2 linked regions of the Rattus norvegicus genome follow. The protein of the gene in region 1 purifies or fractionates together with the protein of each later gene. This does not show direct contact. Links are inferred from orthologs where the notes say so. Each region holds a gene or a part of one and is shown on either strand. Other genes may lie near its edges.

The links.
Region 2: the proteins of Cry1 (region 1) and Fbxl3 purify together in Homo sapiens (affinity purification with mass spectrometry; 4 studies listed by BioGRID and IntAct, counting the BioPlex papers as one, with this or other methods). This does not show direct contact. The link is inferred for Rattus norvegicus from reciprocal best matches to the Homo sapiens genes CRY1 and FBXL3.

Annotation. Positions count from the first base shown.
Region 1 is NC_086025.1:20,461,345-20,467,268, forward strand, and holds part of Cry1 (cryptochrome-1), read left to right. Parts: intron 1-2,191; coding exon 2,192-2,334; intron 2,335-4,922; coding exon 4,923-5,107; intron 5,108-5,765; coding exon 5,766-5,854; intron 5,855-5,924.
Region 2 is NC_086033.1:86,319,679-86,325,486, reverse strand, and holds the end of Fbxl3 (F-box/LRR-repeat protein 3), read left to right. Parts: intron 1-1,500; coding exon 1,501-2,144; 3' UTR 2,145-3,983; downstream 3,984-5,808. UniProt on the Homo sapiens protein: Substrate-recognition component of the SCF(FBXL3) E3 ubiquitin ligase complex involved in circadian rhythm function. Plays a key role in the maintenance of both the speed and the robustness of the circadian clock oscillation.

The DNA of each region.
Region 1 (5,924 bases):
TGGTGTGTAAATACATGTGATGTTCAGGGAATGTTCTTATCTCTGGCTTTTCAGTTTTTCTTATAGAGAGATGTTCACTAATTCATTGCCAGGGAAGGAATAGAGATTAATGAGTTTAGGAGAAAGAATTGGTGAGCGCGGTTCAAACAGTTCCTTTTCTCCTCCACTTACACGGCATTCTCCTGCGTGTGCTGGATTAGAGTGACCGCCCTCGGTCACAGCAAGGGAGGGACTGCTTATGATTGACAGAACAGGTCATGTTAAGTACTGCTGTCAGTTCAATAGTAAACCATCAGCAAGCTGGTTTGTCCTAAACCTAGCAATACTTCCTCCAGTTTTACTTTAATAATGATGCTTTTTGTATTTTTACCTTTACCTCTCTGATGTACAGGCCTGAGCTCAAAAAGCAAAACTAGCAGGAAGTATTTTTTATTGACTCACCTCAAACACCAAACACACCTTAAACCTATCAAACTTATTTCTCAAAAAAGTACATAGAACTAATTACAAGTTACTAATTAGGCAAAAGGTTTTCATGACTTAGACAACAAAGGGTTGCTGTTGTTAAACTCCCAGGAGTTCTAAGAAACACAGCTGAGTACAGCAGAACCGGGAGGACCTCAGCTACAGTGCACACAAGTGCACACATGGAAGCCATGGTGCTCACGTTCACTGTGCTCTGTGCTTTCTGCTCACTGCTTCGAAATGCAGACTGGGGCTTTTAGCAGTGCGTCTCGCAAGGTGAACACTTCTCACCAGGGACTCTCAGCTTTAAACCCTGTGTTTCTACTACTTGTCTGTATGTCTTACCATGGGACAAATACGTATGCATAAATATGTATACACAATGTTCTCCACTCTCATTTACATTGTATTCTTAAATTTAAAAGAAAATAGCATGTCTGTACTAACAAATACAAACAAGGTAGTAAAATAAATAATTATTTCTTTCCTCAGTTCTTTTACAACCTTTGAGAGAGGAAAGCCTTTTAAATGCTCTGTTTTTTTTTCTAGTAGTTGCACAGACATCCATATAAGATAACTAATCCACACAGCTTCCTGTCGCTCTAGGGTACGGGTGCTGACGGGGTGTGTGTGTGTGTGTGTGTGTGTGTGTCTCAAAACAGCTGAACATGCACCCATCTATCAGAACTTTAAATGTGTTTATTTTAATCCATTGATTGTTTCTCAAGGATTTCTAGGAAGAAATAGAATAAATGCCTAAATATGCTTTACATGTATGTACTGGGCTGGAGACATGGCCCAGCAGTTAAGAGAGCTTGCTGCTTTTCTACAGGATCCGAGTTCAAATCCCAATACCCACAGTGTTCTAGAACTCGAGCTCCTGGGGATCCGATACCTTCTTCTGGCTTCTATGTTATCCACACACACTTAAAAAAATTAGTTGGAAGTGACCAACTACAAAATGCACACTATGAATGTAGAAGGCTTTATTGGGAACACCTTTGGACTGCTACAATCTGGTATCATATATCAGTTAAGTAATAGTAGCATTATAGGATTTCTTTTCTTTTTTGAAGCTAATCAGAATAGATTTTAGAATTCAATGAAACTTGACTACTTTCTTGAAAAAATCATTTATCTTAGGTCACAGTTTTCTATTTATAGTAACTATAAAGAGATGTAAGTTAATGATACAATATCAGTCAGTACTTGCTGTTTTTATTCTTGGTTCCAAGTTTTTTGCTGTCAACTTTTGTAATGGTCAGAAATAAAATACTCATTCTCAGAAAAACAGTTCTCACCACATCAGCTACCAAAGGTTTGTTAAAGAGCAGTTCTTAGAGTCAGCAGGTATAAGTCCATGTGTTCTGTTTCTGTGAACCTGAGCGTGTGCGTGCCTTTTAAAAAAATAACTTTATCTGCAAAATGCCAAACTGAGGTGGTTTTCATCCAGAATTAAATAAGGTAATGAAAAAAGGATACTACCTAAGTACTTTATATAAAGAGTACGTCTAAGTATATGCTAGGTTTTCTCATGCCAGGCACAAGCCTGAAGTCTGGTTAGCATGCATATGTCATCTGCATATGTTCACATTGATAAATTGTATCATTTCTTCATGTTTGAAATTTGATTTATATGTAATCATTTGATGTAGATTTTGAACTTACTATTATAAGAACATAACTATTAAATCATAATGTGTTGTTGCCTCTTTGTCTTGTTTAGGAATGGAATATTACTAAACTTTCAATTGAGTACGATTCTGAGCCTTTTGGGAAGGAACGAGATGCGGCCATCAAGAAGCTGGCCACTGAGGCTGGTGTGGAAGTCATCGTGCGCATTTCACACACACTGTATGACCTAGACAAGTAAGGCTCTTTTATTGCAAGAAAATATATAATGATATTACCACCTTAGACATTTTTAGGTATACTGTTGAGTGATATTAAATACATAACTGAGTAAGGTTATAAAAATGGGAAATAATAGAATCAAAATTGTAAGAATTAAGAATTAAATGGGTTTATATCAAGCCCTTAGCATTTTACTTAGCTGTTGTGATTTCTATCCACTCAGTTGTAATACCAAAATTGTAGACACAGTGCATAAGATGAAAATATTTAGCACTTCAGTTTTAAATTAAGAAATGCTGTTCACACATTTATTTTACTGCTACCTTGGCCACTATTGCTGTCAGCATAATTAGATTAGCAGCTTATTTGACACATACCCAAGTCTTAGGTCGATATAGTTTGTGATCTTGTTATATGTATGCGAGCTTATCCTTCATTTGGTTGAAGTGAGAACTGAAGTAATAAACTACCCAGTTAGAGGCCTCTGATGTGTGGCATCATCTGCCTGGGTGTCTGCTGCTGGGATGTGTGCTAGTCCCTGGGATGCTTTGACTAGCAGAGTCTGGGGCCAGTTTGAGGTTAGAAAGTAACACGTGCTGACAACTTAGGAGGTTCATGAGCTGTGTAAGTTTACAGTAACTTCTGGCATGAAATTGTCTTTATAAACATGAGAATTCAAAATTTATGTATCTATTAAGTTATTTACACATTGTACTAACTTAACAAAACTAATTCTATAAATAACATAACAAACTGATTTTACTTGTGTTAGCAAGTAAATGAATAAAACCATTATTTGATTCAGACAGGCATCTCCCCTCAGTGTTGACTTACATGTGCTAGTCCTTTTGGTAATAAAACTTCTGTCTGATACCAGTTTCCTTAACATCAATGAGTGAGGAGACAGAATAGGATAAGAGATGTTGCTTCAAAGTGGGAGACTCAGCAGTATCATAAAATTAGTTTTTATTGGGTTGGTTATGAATACATACTAAAGGTAGAGTGTGTGTGTGTGTGTGTGTGTGTGTGTGTGTGTGTGTGTGTGAAAATCTTGTCTATGAGTTTCAGTTTGCTGGTGGATAATTACGAGACACTTAACAGTGTTGTTGTTGTAACAGTTCTGAATTCAACACACTTCATTATGTAATCTCAAGATATTAAACCAAAACTGTAGGTACAGCAGGGAGGACAGCTTTCCTGGTGGTTTCTCCCTGTAACATAATCAATAATGCGCAAGGTAAAGAAAATACCTAATGCTGGGGATGAAGAAATACTTGATTAGCAGTGTTACTAGTTATGTGATCCTAGCTACTTCATTTAACCCTGTGGAAGGCTTTTGTTTCTACATTGACAGATGGTAAAGCTGGATTTTAACTATAATTATAAGCAAATAGTTATAATAAAAAATATAATTAATTACTCTGAAGCCATGTCTAGACTTAATGCAGACCTTTGTAAGTGCTGCTGCCTTTTCTTTTCCTAGAAGTATGGTGATTGAGGTAGCTAGTGGTCAGCACTAACTGCATAATGCACTTAAACATAAATGACTGAGCATTTGGGGTACTTGTATGCATAGCATTTCTCTCCTTATCCACGAGGGCGTTCCAAAAGCCCCAGTGGATATGCAGAACCACTAATCACATCGAGCCCTGTGTTCCCTGGGCTGTCTGTCTAAAGATCACATCATGATAAAGCTTGGTTGTAAATTATAACTTATGGAGGTTAACAATAATATTGAACAATTAGAACAGTATGCTACAATAAGTTATGTGAGTCTAGACATAGTATTTTTGCAGCACAATTGAACCCAAGTAACTGAAACCACAGAAAACAAAAGCTCACCTAGGGGCTGCTGCTGGATAACAGATACACATGTGCTGAGGTCTGTAACATACAACAGATATATGTGTGTTGATGTCTGTAACATACAACAGATATACATGTGCTGAGGTCTGTAACATACTACAGATACACATGTACTGAGGTCTCCACATACACAGAAAATAGCAGTATAGTCCTCAAGTTCATAGAGGAAATTGGGACCCAAGAGAAGGGCAAGAGGAGACAGGGTTTCACTGTGTAGCACTGGCTGTCCTAGAACTCACTCTATAGAGCAGGATGGCCTTGAATTTATAGGGACCCACCTGCCTCTGCCTCCCAAGTGCTGGGACTAAAGGTGTGCACTGCTGCTGCTAGCAAATTTTACTTTTACTGATTATTTCTTGTTATAATTATCAGCCCGGTTTAGTTTTACTGGTGCCTCTTGAGATTTCTTGAATTGATTAATTTTTCACTTGTCCATTTATATTAATTTTTATATAGGTAGCCTATAGGCTAGTTGAACTACTTTGTTATTATTTAGTTATAATCCTAAATATTTGTCATTAATGATTTGATGTTTGCATATTTTATTATTGACCTCCAGGAATTCAGGAGAATGGTTTTAGATTCATTAACCATTTTTGAACACATTTTCTGGTCATATCAGAAGCTAACATTCAAAAGGTCTTAATTGATAAACTTTCTGATAGTAAACCTTTTTGAGTTTATCAACCAAACTACATAATCATTTACTCACCGTGTCTTATTCACTCTTGTAACAGGATCATAGAACTCAATGGTGGGCAGCCACCCCTAACATACAAAAGGTTTCAGACTCTCGTCAGCAAAATGGAGCCCCTGGAGATGCCAGCAGACACCATCACATCAGACGTGATAGGGAAGTGCACAACCCCTCTGTCCGACGACCATGATGAGAAGTACGGAGTTCCTTCCCTGGAGGAGCTCGGTGAGTGCAGCCCTTGATAATCGTGGTGCTCAGTGCTCGGATTGACAGGCACCAGAGTGTGTGGGCGGCACAGAGTGGACCTGATGGTGGCTAAGGAAAGTCGGAAGGAACGCAGAGTCAGCATGGGCAAGGAGATCTGGGTGGATCTGGGAAGATGGGGGACAGGTAAGGGGAGGGAGTATGATCAGAATACAGTGTATGAGATTCCCAAGTAATTTAAAAATATATTATATTGTAAAATACTTAATAATCACTTGGAAATTTCACGTCTATGTATTTTTACTGGAAGAAGAGAAAAGTAAAGGAGGAAATCAGAGAAAATCCTAGTAACCAAAAGTATCTTGTGCATCCTTAACCTGTGTCCTGCTGTCAGGTGAAGATGTGCGTCCTGAAGATGGGAGCCGAATTGCAGTCTTTGGTGCAGGACTCTGACGTTGGGTGGGGCCAGAGCAGGCCTATTTAGGCCGCACAGTCCCGTGTTGGCCTGTGTAGTCCTCTGTAAGCCAGTGTAGGCCTGTAGAGTGTATTTGTTTATTTTTGCAGAGTAATTTTTTCCCAAGTAAGTGTGGTCAGGTAAAAAAGCTATTTTTGTTGTAGAATAACAACAATATTAATGATGATTTTCCTTCCTTCCTTTCTTTCATTTTTTTCCCCCTAGGTTTTGATACCGATGGCTTGTCCTCTGCGGTGTGGCCAGGAGGAGAAACTGAGGCACTTACACGTTTGGAAAGGCATTTGGAAAGAAAGGTACAATGTAGATTCCAAATGAACATTTCAAACATTATTCCCCCTTGTTTAGATGGCATCAGGCACATCC
Region 2 (5,808 bases), on another chromosome or scaffold:
AAGAGTGATAATTTCATATATCCTACAAATTGGTAAACTATAACCACTTGATAGAACTTTTCTTACTTTTTTTTTTTACTTTTTTATTTTTTTAATTTTATTTTTTAACTCAGGACCCCATACCATGGAATACTGTGTCTAAATTCTTTTAACTTAATAGCTAAAATTAGCCACTCAGTCACACATACATGTAGTTCTGCTTGTGTACAACACATAAGCTGTTGCAGTAGCCATGCAGGATAGTGTGTAATCTAAAAACTGAATCTTAAGGTAGATACCTTCAAGACTGCTCTTTGTTTTGTGTGCTTTATACATTCTTCTGAACTTTAGGATCATCTTATCAAATGCAAGGGTAAAATGCAGTTAAGATTAAAATACAACATCTACCAACATCAAGGTTCTAATATAAAAACATGAATGTCTTTCCACTTGCTTAGGTATCATTAAATATCCTTCAGAAATTCTGAAATTCAGCTAAATTTGTTCTTTTGTTTTCTTTTTGAACAGTATGTAAATTACTAGTTCAATTTTTTTTCTCCATCTTTATTAACTTGGGTATTTCTTATTTACGTTTCAATTGTTATTCCCTTTCCTGGTTTCCAGGCCAACAATCCCCTAAACCCTCCCCCTCCTGCTCCCCTTCTTTATGGGTGTTCCCCTCCCCATCCTCCTCCCATTGCCGCCCTCCCCCCAACAGTCTAGTTCACTGGGGGTTCAGTCTTGGCAGGACCCAGGGCTTCCCCTTCCACTGGTGCTCTTACTAGGATATTCATTGCTACCTATGAGGTCAGAGTCCAGGGTCAGTCCATGTATAGTCTTTAGGTAGTGGCTTAGTCCCTGTAAGCTCTGATAGAATTTTTCTTACTTTTCAAATATTTTGTTTCATTTATATGGTCATATTGTATCCCCTTTCTTTATATTATGATTACATTTTGAATTTCAGAAACTCCTCTAGTCTGTTCTAGTTGAACATGAAATTTTTCTCCAACTGTGAGTTTAGTATTTTTTAATGATATGACAGCTGGCGCTCCAAAACTGAGTTTGAAGCCAACCCTGGGCTACAAAATGAGTTCTGGGGAGGGAAAAACACAGTGATGCCCTACATTTCTAGGATAAATCTTACTTCGTTATGGCAAATTTTTGAAACGATGGTGGTGATTTTCTTGAGTTATAAATGAGCAACAAGGATATAGAATTGGTTTTATAAGATAAATAATATGAGGGGTTGGGGATTTAGCTCAGCGGTAGAACGCTTGCCTAGCAAGTGCAAGGCCCTGGGTTCGGCCCCCAGCTCCGAAAAAAAGAAAAGAAAAAAAAAAGATAAATAATATGAGTGGGTATAACTTGTAATTCATTATCACAACTGAAGTTTGAAACTGCGTTAATTGGTGAAAAGGGAAATGTGGGTATTTTCTAGGACATGCACTTGATTAAACAGTTGAACAGGTAAATTTTACAATAATTTCTAAGTAATTGGGCGTTGTTTCTTCCCCCTGCCAGGGATTCTGTGTGTGGCTGATCAGTGTCATGGCTTACGGGAGCTGGCCCTGAACTACCATTTGCTCAGTGATGAGCTGTTGCTCGCACTGTCTTCTGAAAAGCACGTTCGCTTAGAACATTTGCGCATTGATGTTGTCAGTGAGAACCCGGGACAGACACACTTCCACACGATCCAGAAGAGCAGCTGGGACGCCTTCATCAAGCACTCACCGAAGGTCAACCTAGTGATGTATTTTTTCCTGTACGAAGAGGAGTTTGACCCGTTCTTCCGTTATGAAATCCCTGCCACTCATCTTTACTTTGGGAGATCAGTCAGCAAAGATGTGCTTGGCCGCGTGGGCATGACCTGCCCCAGACTAGTAGAACTGGTAGTGTGTGCCAATGGCTTGCGGCCCCTTGATGAAGAGTTGATTCGCATTGCAGAACGTTGCAAAAATCTGTCAGCTATTGGGCTGGGGGAGTGTGAGGTCTCATGTAGTGCCTTTGTCGAGTTTGTAAAGATGTGTGGGGGCCGCCTGTCTCAGTTATCCATTATGGAAGAAGTGTTAATTCCTGACCAGAAGTATAGTTTGGAACAGATTCATTGGGAAGTGTCCAAGCATCTTGGCAGGGTGTGGTTTCCAGACATGATGCCTACGTGGTAAGGGACTGCATGACAGGGGGCGTGGTGAGTGAGTAGCACCTTCCTTTTAAGAAAACGCATCCTAATAAACGTTTATCTGCTCGAGAGCTGTAATTCTGTTTTGTGGCATAGAAATTTGGCATCTTTGGTGAGCTTGTGTAATGAAGGGCGTTTGTCGGAAGACCTACAGTTTGGGTCAGATAACTCCTTTTTTTTTTTTTTTTTTGCAGCCTAATAGCAATCAAATGTTTAAAAATTAAAAATGTTGTTCCATATTTGAAAGTAATATCCAATTATGAAAATTAAGTAATTCATAGTCTGAAGGAAACAACCTGAGTGTTGTAATATCTCAGAAGTGTACTAATAGGTTTTCTGAAATGTTCTCTATGCATTTTTTTAAAAAAAATGTAAACTTGACATTTTAGGGTCTTCAGTTCTAAATACACCTGTTATAAGGTGTTTAATACAGCTCAGGAAAGTGAGCATTCTGTGAGAGACATGTATGACAGCGCTCAGAAGACACTGGGTGAATGTTTTCAAACATAATGAAGCTGTTTTAAAAATAAAGATATAAATATCAAAGAACTTAGAACACTGATAAATGTTGCCGTGGTTATTAAGGAGGGCACACAGAGAGAGCCGGGATCAAATCTAGAGGAATCTGTGGAGTAGGAGAGAGCTAGCACTTAGCTTTGTATAAACTTTAGGTCCCTGTGTAAAATGCTAAACCACATGCACTCTTTGTTCTGTCACTAATGTCCTTGGTGCCTGAGGCTTTGTATGTAAAGGAATGCTTTACTCTCTCTAAATCTTTATTTAAACTAGTCTTAAACTATTACACAACAATTTAAATGAAAATTTTACTTAAAAACCCAACTGAAATAATTAAAAGTAGAACTTTATAAATTGTTTCAGAACAGTTTGATGAAAGAATATTAGTCTCAGTGAACCGTAGTGATGGCTCATGCTTTCAAGTTTGGAGTGACATAGCTACAATAAATACAGCTTTAAAAATGAAAGAGTATCTGTACAGCTCAGAAACACTAAATTAAAAAAAATATATTTCATTATAACTCGAGTAAATACTACTCAGTGAACTGGAACATTTTAATAGGAAAATACAGTTTTGTGATTGTCAATTTGGTTGAAACTGGTATTTTATATTTAAGTTATGTAGCTTTTCCTATTACTTTCATACAAATAAAGGTAGATTCTAGACTCTATATAGTATAAAGATACTAAGGTTTGGGGGTCTTTGTTCTGTTTTGTTTTTTTAGGTACTGTATGAGCTTGGGTTCTGGGCACTAGTGCTAACAGACGCCTGCTCTGAGAGAAGTTAGAAGTGGTTCACCCCAGCAGCATGTTTCAGTGGGGCTTTTATAAAGCCTGAGGCTATGGAAGCTAACAGTCCTAAAGACAGATGACCTAACTAAGAACAAAAGAGAGTGTGGCTTTCTACACAGCTTAAACTTCAGAAGTGATGGCGTTCTTTCAGGCACGGCAGTTGAGAAGGAAAAGACCGGCCCAGAGTTCCACGTCAAAGGCAACTCTGAGAACATTTTACCCTTACTGAATAGTAGGGAGCTCTGGCTGTATAGGAAATACTTGTGCTAGTTGGTTAGGTTCTGGGTTATTTTTTTTAACTTTTCTGAACAACATTGAAAAATGGATTTGATGGTATATAGTCAGTTTTACTAACCAAAGCTTTATTTGAAAACTTAACTTTTTGTACAAATTGAATTACATGCTTGAATACTTTAAGTCACTTTATAAGCAAAATGCATAGCATTTAATTTGTTTATACTGTAAAATATATGTTAAATGGTTTTATCAATTTGAGAATAAAGATAGTTACTACTGCGGTTGTATTTTTATAACTTTAGAGAACTAATCAAACATATACTACAATATATATTATGATAGCTTCAGAATCTATTATATGGTAGTCTTTTAAACAGTCTACTTTGAAGATACAAAACTTGGCACACTGATTCTATTCTGATGCTCTAATACTTGTGAAACTTACCGTGAAATATAAATTCTTTTATGATTAAAAATAAGGAATAGCTTCTTTATATATTCAGAATGAAAGCTATACTCTACTTGGAAATATGACTCTTGGGGTTAAAGCTGGTGGATTCTCTTGGCAGTTGTTAGCATGCACATCATTCATGACTACTTGTAAGTCCAGTTCCAGAAGACTGACACCTTTGCCATCCCTGGGCACCTGCATTCATTTACATAGACAGACCTAGACACTCACACATAATTAAAACAAGGATAGATATTTTTACAAAAACATTCTTAGAGTTTTCTTTAGCCTAGCAAGCCATATTAGAAATCTATATAAATCAGAATAGTTTTAAAACAATAGAAATTAATGTATCTTAAGTAAGTTTCAGGAAACAGTCCAATTTGCTGTAATTGGTAATCTAGGCCATCTTTTTAAAATACGCCTTGCTAAACAGTAATAAGTTACTGCAATCTGTTTCCAAAACCTGTTTCTATTTGAGGCCATTTTTAGTGTTAGCAAAAAGTAAAAAGTATCACCTGTTTACTGGCCTTAAACCCTTCTTTAAGATAACAAAAGCATTGTCTCAGAGAGTTAAAGGTTATTCTTAGAATTAATTAATAATCAAAATGTAAATACCTGAATAGTTCCAACAAGGAAGAAACTCTTGAAGGCAGTCAGAAGACCTTGAAGCTACCTGCACATTCAAGGGTAAATACAAATGTGTTTCTTTTCAAAAGTTGGCGGGGTGTGGTGGAACAGACAGGCTGTTCAGAAGGCTAAGCCAGAGGATGCACATTCAGACACATTCGGGGCCGAATGAGCTATGAGTGAAAGGCAACCTAGACCTTGTTTTCACAAAGTTAAAAAGGATTGTAGGAATGTAATAGTTCAGTGGTAGACCGCTTCCCTTCCGTGAGTGTGTGTGGGTGTGTGAGAGAGAGACAGACAGACAGATATCCCTAGGCTCAGTACTCCCAGACACATCACATGTGAGACAGACTGAAGAATGTATTGTTATTAAACACTTTGTATATAACGCATTTTGGTCATTTTCCACTCTCCCTTACTCTGCCGTCCTCTCTTGCCGAACTCCCTTCTACTCTCGAGTCTTTTTTTTAACCCTTGGAATCCACTAACTTTAATTATGAGAGTTGCCCACATGAACAGGGTGGGAGGTTACGGAAACACGGGCAGTTTAGGAGTGGCAGTACCACTGGAGAAAGTGACTTCCCCCACCCCCCACCCCCATACAAGCTACCAGTAATTTGTGAAGGGTGTGGCCCTGAGCCCCATCCCCATCCATGACGTAATGTTTATAACACCATCTAGGGCGGATAAACAGTCGCAGGTACACATTGCAGAGTGCAGTTTCCACTGCTTGCCTAGATGGCAGCCTCTCATGGTGCCCCTTGTGATCCCCTAGCCCTTGGTTCCTTCTGCTGTCTTTTCCGTGTGTACTGGGCTTTGGAGGGAGGGACGATAGATGTCGTGTTTAGGGTCTTATAATGTTTTTCCTGTTGTCTGTCTAGGGAGCCACTATTGAATAGAGGTTCTGAGTGTTTGAGTTACTTCACCTTTTAACTGTTTCCTTCTATCTGCAACAGTAAATTACCCATTAATGAGCCAGATTCGTGGGTGATATGTTTACTCTGAAGCCCTAATAGTCAAGCTC